3 linked regions of the Macaca mulatta genome follow. The protein of the gene in region 1 interacts with the protein of each later gene in a biochemical or structural test. Links are inferred from orthologs where the notes say so. Each region holds a gene or a part of one and is shown on either strand. Other genes may lie near its edges.

The links. The genes of interacting proteins can lie anywhere in the genome.
Region 2: the proteins of NPPB (region 1) and NPR1 form a complex in vitro, tested with the Homo sapiens proteins (2 studies listed by BioGRID). The link is inferred for Macaca mulatta from reciprocal best matches to the Homo sapiens genes NPPB and NPR1.
Region 3: the proteins of NPPB (region 1) and NPR2 form a complex in vitro, tested with the Homo sapiens proteins (3 studies listed by BioGRID). The link is inferred for Macaca mulatta from reciprocal best matches to the Homo sapiens genes NPPB and NPR2.

Annotation. Positions count from the first base shown.
Region 1 is NC_133406.1:228,871,108-228,875,871, forward strand, and holds NPPB (natriuretic peptides B), read left to right. Parts: upstream 1-2,239; 5' UTR 2,240-2,374; coding exon 2,375-2,500; intron 2,501-2,732; coding exon 2,733-2,988; intron 2,989-3,529; coding exon 3,530-3,546; 3' UTR 3,547-3,740; downstream 3,741-4,764.
Region 2 is NC_133406.1:113,345,205-113,349,618, reverse strand, and holds the end of NPR1 (atrial natriuretic peptide receptor 1), read left to right. Parts: intron 1-2,676; coding exon 2,677-2,805; intron 2,806-2,899; coding exon 2,900-3,102; 3' UTR 3,103-3,565; downstream 3,566-4,414. UniProt on the Homo sapiens protein: Receptor for the atrial natriuretic peptide NPPA/ANP and the brain natriuretic peptide NPPB/BNP which are potent vasoactive hormones playing a key role in cardiovascular homeostasis.
Region 3 is NC_133420.1:63,891,003-63,895,853, reverse strand, and holds part of NPR2 (atrial natriuretic peptide receptor 2), read left to right. Parts: intron 1-1,916; coding exon 1,917-2,076; intron 2,077-2,235; coding exon 2,236-2,391; intron 2,392-2,470; coding exon 2,471-2,639; intron 2,640-2,797; coding exon 2,798-2,944; intron 2,945-3,424; coding exon 3,425-3,548; intron 3,549-3,731; coding exon 3,732-3,800; intron 3,801-4,823; coding exon 4,824-4,851. UniProt on the Homo sapiens protein: Receptor for the C-type natriuretic peptide NPPC/CNP hormone. Has guanylate cyclase activity upon binding of its ligand. May play a role in the regulation of skeletal growth.

The sequences.
Region 1 (4,764 bases):
GCTTCCTCTTAACCTTTTGATACTCTTACTGTGGCATGCTCAAGCACACACACACACACACACACACACACAGACACAAAACTACCCCAGCCCCCAGAACATTTCCAACACTGGTGTCTTTACACAGCCCTTACCCACCCACCCCCATTTATATTTCATCTGCAAAATGCTCATCTGAGCCACTTCCCATTCTTTCTCCTGCACACACAGTCACCACTAGACTTGCACATCCCCTACAGCACAGCTCCCAGAGCCTTCATAGATGACAGGAGTTTCACCTAAGCTTGCTTTCTGTAGAAACACCTTGTGATCACCCTGTCAGTGATTATGAGCTTCAGGTCTGGAATCAGCCTGCCTGGGGTTGGAATCTGGGCTTTGTCATGTGTCAATTGTGTGACTTTTGGAAAGTAGATTAATTCATGAGCACCATTTCCTCGTCTGAAGTGAGGAATAATAACCATGCTTTTCTCACCTCAGGGGCAGATGCTATTTTTTAGGCAAGATTTGCTTAGAGGTCCCAGTTTCTTATTGCTGCCCTTCTCTGCCATAACTCTTCTCCCCTTGTAGACAGCTCCACTCCTCCAGCCTGCTGCTTCTTGACCCCAATTCTCTGGAAGGCGAGTGACATCAGTTGTATGCTTGAGGTGGGTATTTTAGCTGCCATGACTCTTTCCAGGGCAATTTCTCTTCAAAGTCTCATTTCTAATCACAGACAGGAGGCCCAGGACACCTGCTAATGAGAATTAGTTCATGGGTGACCAGATGAAGGAGGCACTGGGAGAGGGGAACTCCCCATATCTCTGGTGTCTCAGCAAATAGATAACCACCATTCCAGCCCTCCTTTTGTTTTCTTTCTTTCTTTCTTTCTTTCTTTCTTTCTTTCTTTCTTTCTTTCTTTCTTTCTTTTTTCTTTCTTTTTCTTTCTTTCTCTCTCTCTCTCTTTCTTTCTCTCTCTCTCTTTATTTCTTTCTTTCTCTCTCTATTTCTTTCTCTCTCTCTTTCTTTCTCTCTCTCTCTCTCTTTCTTTCTCTTTCTTTCTTTTTTCTTTCTTTCTTTTTTTAGTCTTGCTCTGTCACCCAGGTTGGAGTGCAGTGGTGTGATCTCAGCTCACTGCAATCTCTTCTTCCCAGGGTCAAGCGATTCTCCTGCCTCAACCTCCTGAGCAGCTGGGACTACAGGCATGTGCCACGATGCCCAGCTAATTTTTGTATTTTTAGTAGAGACGGGGTTTCACCATGTTAGCCAGGATGGTCTCAATCTCCTGACCTTGTGATCCGCCCGCCTCGGCCTCCCAAAGTGTTGGGATTACAGGCAAGAGCCACCACGCCCAGCCCATACTTTTGTTTTCTATCCTGTGTTGGCTTGGTGGGGGAGAGGAGGTGTTGACACCTGGAGGACACACATATAAAGCATTCCTGGGTGACTTCGTCATCACTGGGCCCTGTCTCTCAAAATTCCAGCGAAATCTGCTCTTCCCTTTAAGGGGTGAAAGAAGGGTCAGCATTCCAGAAGTTCCTGGTCATACCCAGGCTTTTAATGAACTGCCATTGGGGAATCAGCAACCCGTTGCTGTAAGGGCTATAGGATGAGGGGTTGTGAGAGCATAGGGAAGGGTCTCAGAGGTCTCTTGTCCCTGCTCTACGCAGGTCTTTCTGGCCTGAAAATCCTGTCGAAGAGAGCAGCTCTTAAGAGTTTGCTCCAAGTTCCCTTGGGACGATCAGCACCACGGACAGCGGCCAGGGCGCCCTGAGGACCCGCAGGCGAGCAGGGTGCACAGCCGCGAGCAGGTGCTGCGCTACGTGCGGGCCAGGGAACTCGCGCGTGGAGGGAAGGGGAGACACGCCGTGGGTGGCGGGGTGTTGGCCGGGGTTGTTTTCGTTCTGAGTCACCCTGTGCACCCCGCGCTCACGTCGGGCCTCGGAACGCCGGGGTTCTCCCTGCCTTTTCCAGCAACAGTGGGTGGGGAGGCAAGACGCAAGCGCCAACCTAGGACACCCAGGCTTTTGCAGGAAAGGAAGAAGCGGGAGACGTGGACTTGTCTGTGTCTCCAGCGCGTTCCTGCCCCCTGCCCGACCTGGCCCATTTCTATACAAGGTCGGCTCTGCCCGGTCTCCACCTCCCGCGTTGCAGGCGCGGAGGGGATCATTCCCGGGCCCTGATCTCAGCGGTCCGGAATGTGGCTGATAAATCAGAGATAACCCTGCAGGGCAGGGCGGGCGGACACTCAGCTCCAGGATAAAAGGCCACGGTATCCCGAGGAGCCAGGAGGAGCACCCGCAGGCTGAGGGCAGGTGGGAAGCAAACCCGGACACATCGCAGCAGCAGCAGCAACAGCAGCAGCAGCAGCAGCAGCCTCCGCAGTCCCTCCAGACACATGGATCCCCAGACAGCACCTTCCCGGGTGCTCCTGCTTCTGCTCTTCTTGCACCTGGCTCTCCCGGGAGGTCGTTCCCACCCACTGGGCAGTTCGGCCTTGGACTTGGAAACGTCTGGGTTACAGGTGAGAGCGGAGGGCAACTCAGGGGGAATGGACAGCAGCAATGAAAGGGTCCTCACCTGCTGTCCCAAGAGGCCTTCACCTTTCCTTTGGAATTAGTGATAAAGGAATCAGAAAATGGAGAGATTGGCTGCCATGACCCTGTACCCAAGGCAGTCAGTTCACTTGGGTGCTATGAAGGGTAGGTGAGCCCAGGGATGGGTCCCTGAGGCTTGGACTCCCTCATCCATTGCAGGAGCAGCACAACCATTTGCAGGGCAAACTCTCAGAGCTGCAGGTGGAGCAGATATCCCTGGAGCCCCCCCAGGAGAGCCCCCGTCCCACAGGTATCTGGAAGGCCCAGGAGGCAGCCACTGAGGGCATCCGTGGCCACCGCAAAATGGTCCTGTACACCCTGAGGGCACCGCGAAGCCCCAAGATGGTACGAGGGTCTGGCTGCTTTGGGAGGAAGATGGACCGGATCAGCTCCTCCAGCGGCCTGGGCTGCAAAGGTGAGCAACCCCTGCCACCCCGGCCGCCTGCCCCCATTCCAGTGTGTGACACTTTTAGAGTCACTTTGGGGTTTGTTGTCTCTGGGAACCACACTCTTTGAGAAAAGGTCACCTGGACATCACTTCCTCTTGTTAACAGCCTTCAGGGCCAAGGGGTGCCTTTGTGGAATTAGTAAATGTGGGCCTCTTTCATTACCATGCCCGCAACACTTTCTCCTCACCTCCTACCTCTTATCAAACGGGCAGAATCTCCTTTGGGGTCTGTTTATCATTTGGCAGCCCCTCAGTGGTGCAGAAAGAGAACCAAACATCTCCTCCTGGTTTCCTCTAAACTGTCTATAGTCTCAAAGGCAGAGAGCAGGATCACCAGAGCGATGATAATCCCCAATTTACAGATGAGGAAACTGAGGCTCAGAGAGTTGCATTAAGCTTCAAACGTCTGATGACTAACAGGGTGGCAGGTGGTACACGGTGAGGGAAGCTCAGCCCCTGCCTCCATCTCCCACCCTAACCATCATCACCCTCTGTCTTGCCCTGACAGTGCTGAGGCGACATTAAGAGGAAGTCCTGGCTGCAGACACCTGCTTCTGATTCCACAAGGAGCTTTTTCCTCAACCCTGTGGCCATCTTTGAAGTGACTCTATTTTTTTTAAATGTATTTATGTATTTATTTGATTGTTTTATATAAGATGGTTTCTTACCTTTGAGCACAAAATGTCCATGGTGAAATAAAGTCAACATTATAAGCTTTATCTTTTGAAACTGATTTGTCTTGGCGCATTAAAAATAATCCCTAATTTCAAAGAAACCAACCCAACAAAAACCACAAAGCCCTGTGATCTCAAGGCATGGTGGGATGGGGACATGGCCTCAAGGGTAGCGGTAGCAGGCTTTCTTTTCTTTCAGAGTTTTTAATGCTCTGAAATGTTATTAAATATCTCAAGTACTTGAGGCACTTGGGAGAAACTGCTTTTCAAAGCAGGGCAGTTTCTTCCTGGGTGTGGAACGGGTCCTGACATATGTGTGCAACCTGAGGGCATGTGTCCAGCCATTTTCTCCACTCGTCCTTGCTCTGCCTGGAATTCCACCATTAAAGCACTCTCCCTGGGGATTATTGCTTTCAGGTCTCAGCTAAAATGTCAGTGACTGGGGGCAGTGTGTGTGTGTGTGGCTCATCTACATTCCCATTCGGGGGTGAGCCCTCCATCCTGCCCCAAATATCAGCTTTGAAACTCCAATTCCTGGGATCATCCCACAAAAGAGCCTTCAAAACTCCAACCCACAAAGTGAGAGGGGTCTGGTGATCGGCCCAGCTTTCCAGGGTGCTCCTCCCCTGGGGCTGCATCATCTCTTCTTCTCTTTGCCTTAACCAGTGGGGAGGCCATCTCCCCTATGGGTCCCCTTCCTCCACACCCTGCAATCCAGGCCTCCCACAGTGCCGAGTTCCTCTCCTTTCAGATTCCTGGGAAGGGCCTCATGTCATTCCCTTTCTTACAATGCCATTTATAATGCCAGCTCAGCTGAGGGGTAAGGCATCATGAGGTCCACTATTATTATGCCCATTTTCCAAATGGGAAAACAGACCCAGGAAAACCAAGCGTCCTATCCAAGAGCACACAGCAATGAAGCGCTGGTGCTGGGAACTGAGCGGAGATCCAGGTGACTCTCGAGCCTGCGCTCTCCAACTCTTGAGCCCCACGCTCCTGGCCTTGAACTTCACTCTCAAGTCCTTTCTGATGTTCTCATCAGATGTTTCTTTGAATGAGAGGGACCTAG
Region 2 (4,414 bases), about 120 Mb from region 1:
CACTTTGGGAGGCCGAGGTGGGTGGATCACCTGAGGTCGGGGGTTCGAGACCAGCCTGACCAATATGATGAAATCCTGTCTCTACTAAAAATACAAAAAACTAGCCAGGCGTGCTGGCAGGCACCTGTAATCCCAGTTACTCGGGAAGCTGAGGCAGGAGAATTGCTTAAACCCGGGAGGCAGAGGTTGCGGTAAGCCAAGATGGCACCATGCACCCCAGCTTGGGCAACAAGAGTGAAACTGTCTGAGAAAAAACCCTCTGCTCCACCTTTGATGTGGTAAAGATGGCTTCAGAGCCAGCATACTTGGCTGTGAATCTCAGCTCCACAGCTGGCTGTGTGTCAGTTTGCTATACCTCTCTGAGCCATGGTTTTCCTCATCTGTAAAATGAGGGGAAAAAATCTACCTCACAGGGGTTATGTGAGAAATCCATAAAAAATGTCTACCACATAATTGTCATTTAACTTTTCCAAGCCTTAGCTGATTATCTGTAAAATGATGTCTATCTCAGGATTGCAAGAAGCCTAGCACAAACCCTGGTACCCAGTAGGCACCTAATAAATTCTTGCTCCCACCCGCCCCTTGCTCTTGCCTCCTGTTTATCTTCCGTCCTCCTACTGTATTCGACATAATTCAATGCAGTAAACATTTATTGAGTGACTACTGAATACCAGGCCCTTGGATAGTAACATGATCCAGACCCAGAGTTAGCTGAGAAATTCACGTGGACCCCATCTAAACCTTATGGTGAAAGAAAGGCTGCTTGGGAGCCAGTTCTGGGAGCCCAGAGGGATCTAGTTCGGCAGATATTCCCTGGGCACTGTTTTGGGAGCTGTCAGAGTAGAGCCCCTTGCTGAGGTCCAGTCCTCAAGGAGCACATTGCCAGAAATTGTTCAACATTCTGGGTGCCGGCGACGCTTGTAATCCCGGCACTTTGGGAGGCCAAGGCAGGCAGATCACTTGAGGCCAGGAATTGGAGACTAGCCTGGCCAACATGGTGAACCTCCTGTCTCTACTAAAAATACAAAACATTAGCCAGGCGTGGTGGCGTGTGCCTGTAATCCCAGCTACTCAGGAGGCTGAGACATGAGAATCACTTGAACCCGGGAGGTGGATGTTGCAGTGATTCGAGATTGCACCCCTGGGCAACAGAGAGAGACTGTCTCAAAAAAAAAAAAAAAAAGAAAGAAAGAAAAGAAAAGAAAAGAAAGAAACTGTTAAACACAACAAGGCCGCTGTGATTGATGCAAACCCCAGAAGTAAGGACGTGAGTTCAGACAGTGGTCAAAGAGAGGGTGTGGCAATATTGGGCCCCACTCCATCACTGACCTCCTCAGCCACTTGGGCAGATCACCCTGGACCTCAGGTCCTCGGCCACAAAATGAGGGTATAATTTATTAAATCGTGAAAGCAACAATTTACATAGTGCTTCCTAGGTAGCACATTCTGTTTGAATACTTTATGGATGTTGAATTTAATCGTCACAACAAGGTTTTGAGATAGGTACTGACACTATCAGCATTTTACAGATTAGGAAAAGGAGCAGAGAGAATTTATATTACATACCCAAGCAAGTATCCAAGCTGAGGTTCATACTGAGGCAGTGCAGGATCCAAATTGCCAGCTCCTAAGCACTATGCTGTGTTGAGCCCAGTGACATTCCAGAGTGCTGTTCAACAGGATGTTCTGCAGTCATGAAAATGCTCTGTATTCTGTGCTGTCCAATGCAGTAGCCTCTAGGCACATGTGGCTACTGATCACTGGAAATGTGACGGGTGCAAATGAGGCCCTGATTTTTTTTTTTTTTTTTTTTTTTGGAGACAGAGTCTCGCTCTGTTGCCCAGGCTGGATGGAGTGCAGTGGTGCAATCTCGGCTCACTGCAACCTCCACCTCCCAGGTTCCAGTGATTCTCCTGCCTCAGCCTCCTGAGTAGCTGGAATTACAGGTGTGAGCCACCACACTCAGCTAATTTTTTTTTTTTTTTTTTGAGATGGAGTCTCACTCTGTCGCCCAGGCTGGAGTGCAGTGGCCGGATCTCAGCTCACTGCAAGCTCCGCCTCCCGGGTTCACGCCATTCTCCTGCCTCAGCCTCCCAAGTAGCTGGGACTACAGGCGCCCACCACCTCGCCCGGCTAGTGTTTTGTATTTTTTAGTAGAGACGGGGTTCCGTGTTAGCCAGGATGGTCTCGATCTCCTGACCTCGTGATCCGCCCATCTCGGCCTCCCAAAGTGCTGGGATTACAGGCTTGAGCCACCGCGCCCGGCCTAATTTTTGTATTTTTAGTAGAGATGGGGTTTCGCCATATTGGCCAGGCTGGTCTTGAACTCCTGGCCTCAAGTGATCCTCCTGCCTCAGCCTCCCAAAGTGCTGGGATTACAGGTGTAAGCCACAGCACCCAGCCTGAATTTTTAACTGTATTTAGTTTAAATTAATTTAAGTTGAAACAGGCACACGTGATTAGTGGCTACTGTATTGGATTACACAGCTCCAGAGTTCTAAGTGAGAGGCTAATGTCACGCACTACATGCAGGGAGTGGGGCCGCTCTGAGCTAGAGAGGGAAAAGAGGGAGAGAGGGTACCTGTCCACCCCCACAGTCCCTGGTCTCTTTTGCCTCTACTTTCCTGCTCTCCTGTCTCACATCGGTCACCTTCCATTCTCCCCTGTCCTACCCAGCCCTGAAGATCCACTTGTCTTCTGAGACCAAGGCTGTCCTGGAGGAGTTTGGTGGTTTCGAGCTGGAGCTTCGAGGAGATGTAGAAATGAAGGTAGAGGGGGAAGCCTCTGTCCTCCCCACCTTTTGGGGTCCTAGAAGGAGTTACCCTTCTCAAGCAGCCAACACCACTCCCATCCCTAAGCCTCTCATCTGACTGGGGAAAGGGCATGTGCCACTCACCAGCCCATCCTCTTCTTTTTCCCTCCAGGGCAAAGGCAAGGTTCGGACCTACTGGCTCCTGGGGGAGCGGGGGAGTAGCACCCGAGGCTGACCTGCCTCCTCTCCTATCCCTCCACACCTCCCTACCCTGTGCCAGAAGCCACAGAGGTGCCAGGCCTCAGCCTCGCCCACAGCAGCCCCATCACCAAAGGATGGAAGTCGTTTGAATAGCTCAGGTGTGCTGACCCCAGTGAAGACACCAGATAGGACCTCTGAGAGGGGACTGGCATGGGGGGATCTCAGCGCTTACAGGCTGAGCCAAGCCCACGGCCATGCACAGGGACACACACACAGGCACATGCACCTGCTCTCCACCTGGACTCAGGCCGGGCTGGGCTGTGGATTCCTGCTCCCCTCCCCTCCCCATGCTCTCCTCCCTCAGCCTTGCTACCCTGTGACTTATTGGGAGGAGAAATAGTCACCTGAAGGGGAACAAGAAAAGAGACTAGGTGAAGTGAGGGCAGGGGAGCCCACATCTGGGCCTGGCCCACAATACCTGATTCCCCGACCCCCTCCACGCAGCCATAGACACAGTGCACAGGGGAGAAGAGGGGTGGCGCAGAAGGGTTGGGGGCCTGTATGCCTTGCTTCTACTGTGAGCAGAGACAATTAAAATCTTTATTCCAGTGACAGTGTCTCTTCTTGAGGGAGAGAGGGTTGCCAGAAAACAGTCAGTTCTCCACTCTCTACTTCAAATAAGACTCTCGCTTCTTGTTCTACAAGGGCCTAGAAGAAGAAGTAAAAAAAGACTCGATTCTTAAGCTGGGAATGCAGGCTCTGAGAGTAGTAACAGCCTATGAATTGCCCAGCAGTGCTGAAACTGGTTTAAGGACCCATTTACACCCTTAAGAATTATTATTATTGGCCGGGCACAGTGGCTCATGCCTGTAATCCCAGCACTTTGGGAGGCTGAGGCGGATGGACCACCTGAGATCAGGAGTTCAAAACCAGCCTGGCCAACATGGTGAAACCCCATCTGTACTAAAAATACAAAAATTAGCTGGGTGTGGTGGCATGTGCCTGTAATCCCAGCTACTCGGGAGGCTGAGGCAGGAGAATCTCTTGAACCCAGGAGGCAGAGGTTGAAGTGAGCTAAGATGGCACTACCGCACTCTAGCCTGGGCAAAAGAGGGAGACTCTGTCTCAAAAAAAAACAAAAAAAACACCAGGCACGGTGACTCACGCCTGTAATCTCAGTACTTTGGGAGGCTGAGGCGGGCAAATCACATGAGATCAGGAGTTTGAGACCAGTCTGACCAACATGGAGAAACCCAGTCTCTACTAAAAATACAAAATTAGTTGCCGGACGCAGTGGCTCACACCTGTAATCCCAGTACTTTGGGAGGCCGAGGCGGGTGGATCACGAGATCAGGAGTTCGAGACCATCCTGGCCAATATAAGGAAACCCTGTCTCTACTAAAAATAGAAAAATTAGCTGGATATGGTGGCCCGTGCCTGTAGTCTGAGCTACTCAGGAGG
Region 3 (4,851 bases), on another chromosome or scaffold:
CTCATAACTGGGAGAGTGAGTTTTACCTGCCACAAGGAGTCCTGTCCCTGTAGAGAGTTTCTGTCTTTCTGTCTTAAATATCTCAGGTCTCTTTCCATCATCTCTTTTACCTCGAAGAGCTCATAAAATGAGTGGGGTCTCTGAACATATTTATCTCCTATATTTCCTCTCATTATTTTACTCTCTGACCAATATTTGGGCATGTCTGCCCTTTTGTTCAGAAAACTGAAATTTAAAAAAGGAACTTTTACTAGTAGAACTAAGAGAAACCAAGGAAGAGTGTATTAAAAACCTTTGGTACTCTTCTGTTATACTAGGTTTCAGCTATATTCAAATGACTCAGAGGCTCATGGATTTGTGGAACATAAAATAGAATCTTGCATGAGTTGGACAGGTTTTCTGAAATAAGTCTCATAGCCAGTGAGCATCCCAGTGGATCACCCCATGCTGTATTTGAAGCTAGCTTTGGTTTTCTGCTAACTTCTCATGAAATTATTTAAAAAGTATTTTTTTGTGTGTGAAAATTTGCTATCAAGTGAGAGATAAAATATTAGTAAAGCCAATGTCATGCTCAACTAGAGGAGTGATGATAAATATAAGAAAAACACGACTCTTGAGAGAATAGTGATTTGGTGGAAAAGTGATTTACAACAAAGCCAGAAGCCTAATCCTGTGATTTTTGAAGGCATCCTTTGCACAGTTTCCACACAAGTAAATTCACAACTTCAGAGATTCCCAAAAGTTTTGTTGATACCAAAAGAAATAAAAAGGAAGAGTTCATAGAGATTAGAGATTAGACATTAGAGTTATGAATTAAGTCCAGAGCTAAACATTTAGACAAAAATGTTTTTCATTAGCATATTGAACCTTGTATCCTCTTTCTGTCTCACCTGAACGGACTTGGGTGGCTCCTAGGGTTTCATTTTTGGGGAGCATCATTAAGACTTTTTTTTTTTTTTTTTTCCTGAGACTGGGTCTTATTCTGTTGCCCAGGCTACAGTGTAGTGGCTAGATCACTGCTCACTGCAGCCTTGACCTCCTGGGCTCAAGTGATTCTCCCACCTTAGCCTCCTGAGTAGCTGGAACCACAGCGTGTGCTGCCGTGCCCAGCTCAGTTTTGTATTTTTGGTAGAGATGGGGTTTCACCATGTTGCCCAGGCTCGTCTTGAACTGCTGGGCTCAAGCAATCTGCCAGCCTTGGCCTCCCAAAGTGCTGGGTTTACAGGCATGAGCCACTGAGCCCGGCCTTTAAGGCCGTCTTTCAGCTCTTCAGAGGCAAATGTTCTTCCCTCTGTGGACCCACGGAGCCAGCAGTTTTAGGCTTCTGCACTGGCTTAGCAGATTTTGTCCATTTTCCAGGTTTTTCTGATTTATGATGTTCTGTACTTTCTCTCTGATCCAGCATTCCCTCTAGTAGATCTTATTCCTCCTCTACCCGGACTTGCCCACCTACACATGGTTATGCATTTAAGTTTACAACTGGTCTTCCTTGGTATATCCAGCTACTCTTGATACCTGGGTCTCAAGTCATGTCTTTCTAATTAGTAGCCAGGTATCTGAGGCCACCATGGGTGTCATATCATTTTGGTCTTCACCCAAGTTCTGTTCTCTTCACTAATCAAGATTGACTGCCCTTTCCAGGGTAGTCACTGGTAGCTCCACTTATCCATCTTTTTAAGCATTTTCCCTGTCCCTGGTGGCTGGGTGCCTGTGTCCTGCTTATGATACCAGGAAGAGATGACTCTTCTGTTCTTCCTGCTTCCTTGGGTGGAAGCTGCAAAGGATGCCTTCCAAAATCAGCTTATTATTTTTGTGGACCTAAGATCTGTAGACAGCTAGCCAGCGCCCATCTCATGGAGAGAGGGTATTCTAAGCCAGATATGATCTAGTCCCATGACTTGATCTGTACCTTGCAGGGCATGGCCTTTCTCCACAACAGCATTATTTCATCGCATGGGAGTCTCAAGTCCTCCAACTGTGTGGTGGATAGTCGTTTTGTGCTCAAAATCACAGACTATGGCCTGGCCAGCTTCCGATCAACTGCTGAACCTGATGACAGCCATGCCCTCTATGCCAGTGAGGCCCACCCCCACAACCCACTTTATATATTGCTGCTCTTTCCACCTAGGGATGGTGGGAGAGGGAGGTGGAGTGACAGTAATATAGGGATGAGCCCAGGTGGGCTTGGGGGTACCCCATTTTGGGGGACCTGGCCAGCCTGTTTCCTCTTTTCAGAGAAGCTGTGGACTGCCCCAGAACTGCTCAGTGGGAACCCCTTGCCAACCACAGGCATGCAGAAGGCTGATGTCTATAGCTTTGGGATCATCCTGCAGGAGATAGCACTTCGCAGTGGTCCTTTCTACTTGGAGGGCCTGGACCTCAGCCCCAAAGGTAAGAGTCAATCCACTACCCACAGCCTCTTCTTCCTGGGGGAACTCAGTTCCTCATCCAAACCTTTGATCACCCTCAGAGATTGTCCAGAAGGTACGAAATGGTCAGCGGCCATATTTCCGACCAAGCATTGACCGGACCCAGCTGAATGAAGAGCTAGTTTTGCTGATGGAGCGATGTTGGGCTCAGGACCCAGCTGAGCGGCCAGACTTTGGACAGATTAAGGGCTTCATTCGACGCTTTAACAAGTGAGAGGGCATTATAGGGCAGGGGCTTCCCAGGGATAGAAGCCTCATTAGTCCTAGTGCATGAAGTGGGGCAGGTGGGACCAGAGGGTGGGTTGGATAGGAAGTCCTGGGAGTCTTCAGAATCTTAGAGCAAGTGCCATATCCTGGCCTCCCCACAGGGAGGGTGGCACCAGCATATTGGACAATCTCCTGCTGCGCATGGAACAGTATGCCAATAACCTGGAGAAGCTGGTGGAGGAACGCACACAGGCCTATCTGGAGGAAAAACGCAAGGCTGAGGCTCTGCTCTACCAAATTCTACCCCAGTGAGACTTTGTCCCCCTTCCTGAATTTTCCTTTGGGATTCTGCTCTGTTGGGCTCTGCCTCATCAGGCACCTGCGAACTTGCCTCCCGACCCTCAGAACGCTGCTGGCCACAGGGAGTCCCCCTGGCTATAGATTTTTTGCTGTCATTCTGTCTTTGCATCAGCTGTGCTGCCTTCTTACTGGCTTCCCATCCCTTCTTACAACACTGCTCTACCATGCCCTTGCTTCAGCAAGTGTATGTAAAACAGTCCCAACTTGAGACAGCTCCCATGCACAGGGATCTCCTCAAAAGCCCCTGCCACTTGTGCGCCTTACCTTGCATTTGACTGTAATGTCTTCCCAGCCACTTTCCTCCCTCCCACTTGCAAAGCCCAGCTTTCTTGTTTCAGCTCATATCTGCTGCAGCCACATGCACCTTCCCTCTCTCTTCTGCTCCTACTCTCTTGGAGTTTGGCTCACACAGCACCCTTGCTTCCTAGTTCAGTGGCAGAGCAGTTAAAACGGGGAGAGACTGTACAGGCTGAGGCCTTTGACAGTGTTACCATCTACTTCAGTGACATTGTTGGCTTCACAGCATTGTCAGCAGAGAGCACCCCCATGCAGGTGAGAGCCATGGGTGAGAGGTAGCGGGTGGGGTCGGGTGGGTAGGGACCTGGGGAAGCCTCATTGATAACAGGGAAGATGAGTTTGTTCTAGAGTTCCCACATCTTGTGATGGCTCGTGGGTTAAGAATTCTTAGAAAGTTGGGTACAAGTTTCAGGGCCTCTGCTTTTCTATCCCTTTTAGGTAGTGACACTTCTTAATGACCTGTATACCTGCTTTGATGCCATAATTGACAACTTTGATGTCTACAAGGTGAGAGCTGGGGTGGCTCTTCAATAGAAGACTCTTTAATAGAGACCCCCTTTGAAAGCCAGTCTCCCTGAACCCCACACACCTTACCCACCCCATGATCAGCTTTCCCTCCAGGGGTCCCAGCATCCTGGTGCTGGAGTGTACTTTGTAAACAGATGTAGCTCCAGCACTGTCATTGTACACTCCAGTTGAATTTCTTGTGAATCCTTTGGCTTCCCTAATTAGAACCATCATGAGATTTAGCTCCTATCTCCCTGGAGTATAAATGCAGCCAATCCAACATTTCTCTCCAGTCCTCTCCAGACATGGAAGAATCATATAGGATGTGGGTCCAGACTGATTTAGTGGGGTGAGGGAAAATATATTTTAAAAAGTAAAACTTTTTGTTGAAGTCATTGAGTTGGATTTATTGTCCTTGGGAGTAAAAATCATCTGAATTTGAATATTGGCTTGTTACTAACTATGTGGCCTTATAGGTAAGTAACAGAATCACCCTGAGCCTCAGTTGTTTTATCTGTAAGATGGGAATAATAGATTTGTTGTATAGAAAGTGCCTAACATTGTTTGGCATGTGGCAGAACAATGACATTCATTCTCTTACATACCTTTGGTACAATTACCAGCATCAAATGCCTGCTTTCTTCCTGACAGTTTGGGCTGTCTGGTCATTTCATTGGGCCTGCTTTACCTCCTTACCAGCCTCTGTCCTCTTGAGTTTAGCCTGTTGTCTTGCTTCCCATTTCCTGATGGCAGAGCCTATTTGTCCATGTCCTGCTGCAGACAGGGTGTTCATTCATTCAGCAAATGTGTACTGAGTATTCACCAGGTGCTGGGTGGAGAAAGAGGACTTAAAGACTCCCTTGACATCTCGTCTCCCCTAGACTCTCAGGACCATGGCACTTATTTTCTAGTCAATATTCTGGCCTCCAGGATGTCAGGATGATGTCCAGCTTGTCTCCCTCTACTCTTTCCCATCCCCATGGATACAAATAGAGGTGACCTTTTAATCCCCCTCTCAATCAGGTGGAGACGATTGGGGATGCTTACATGG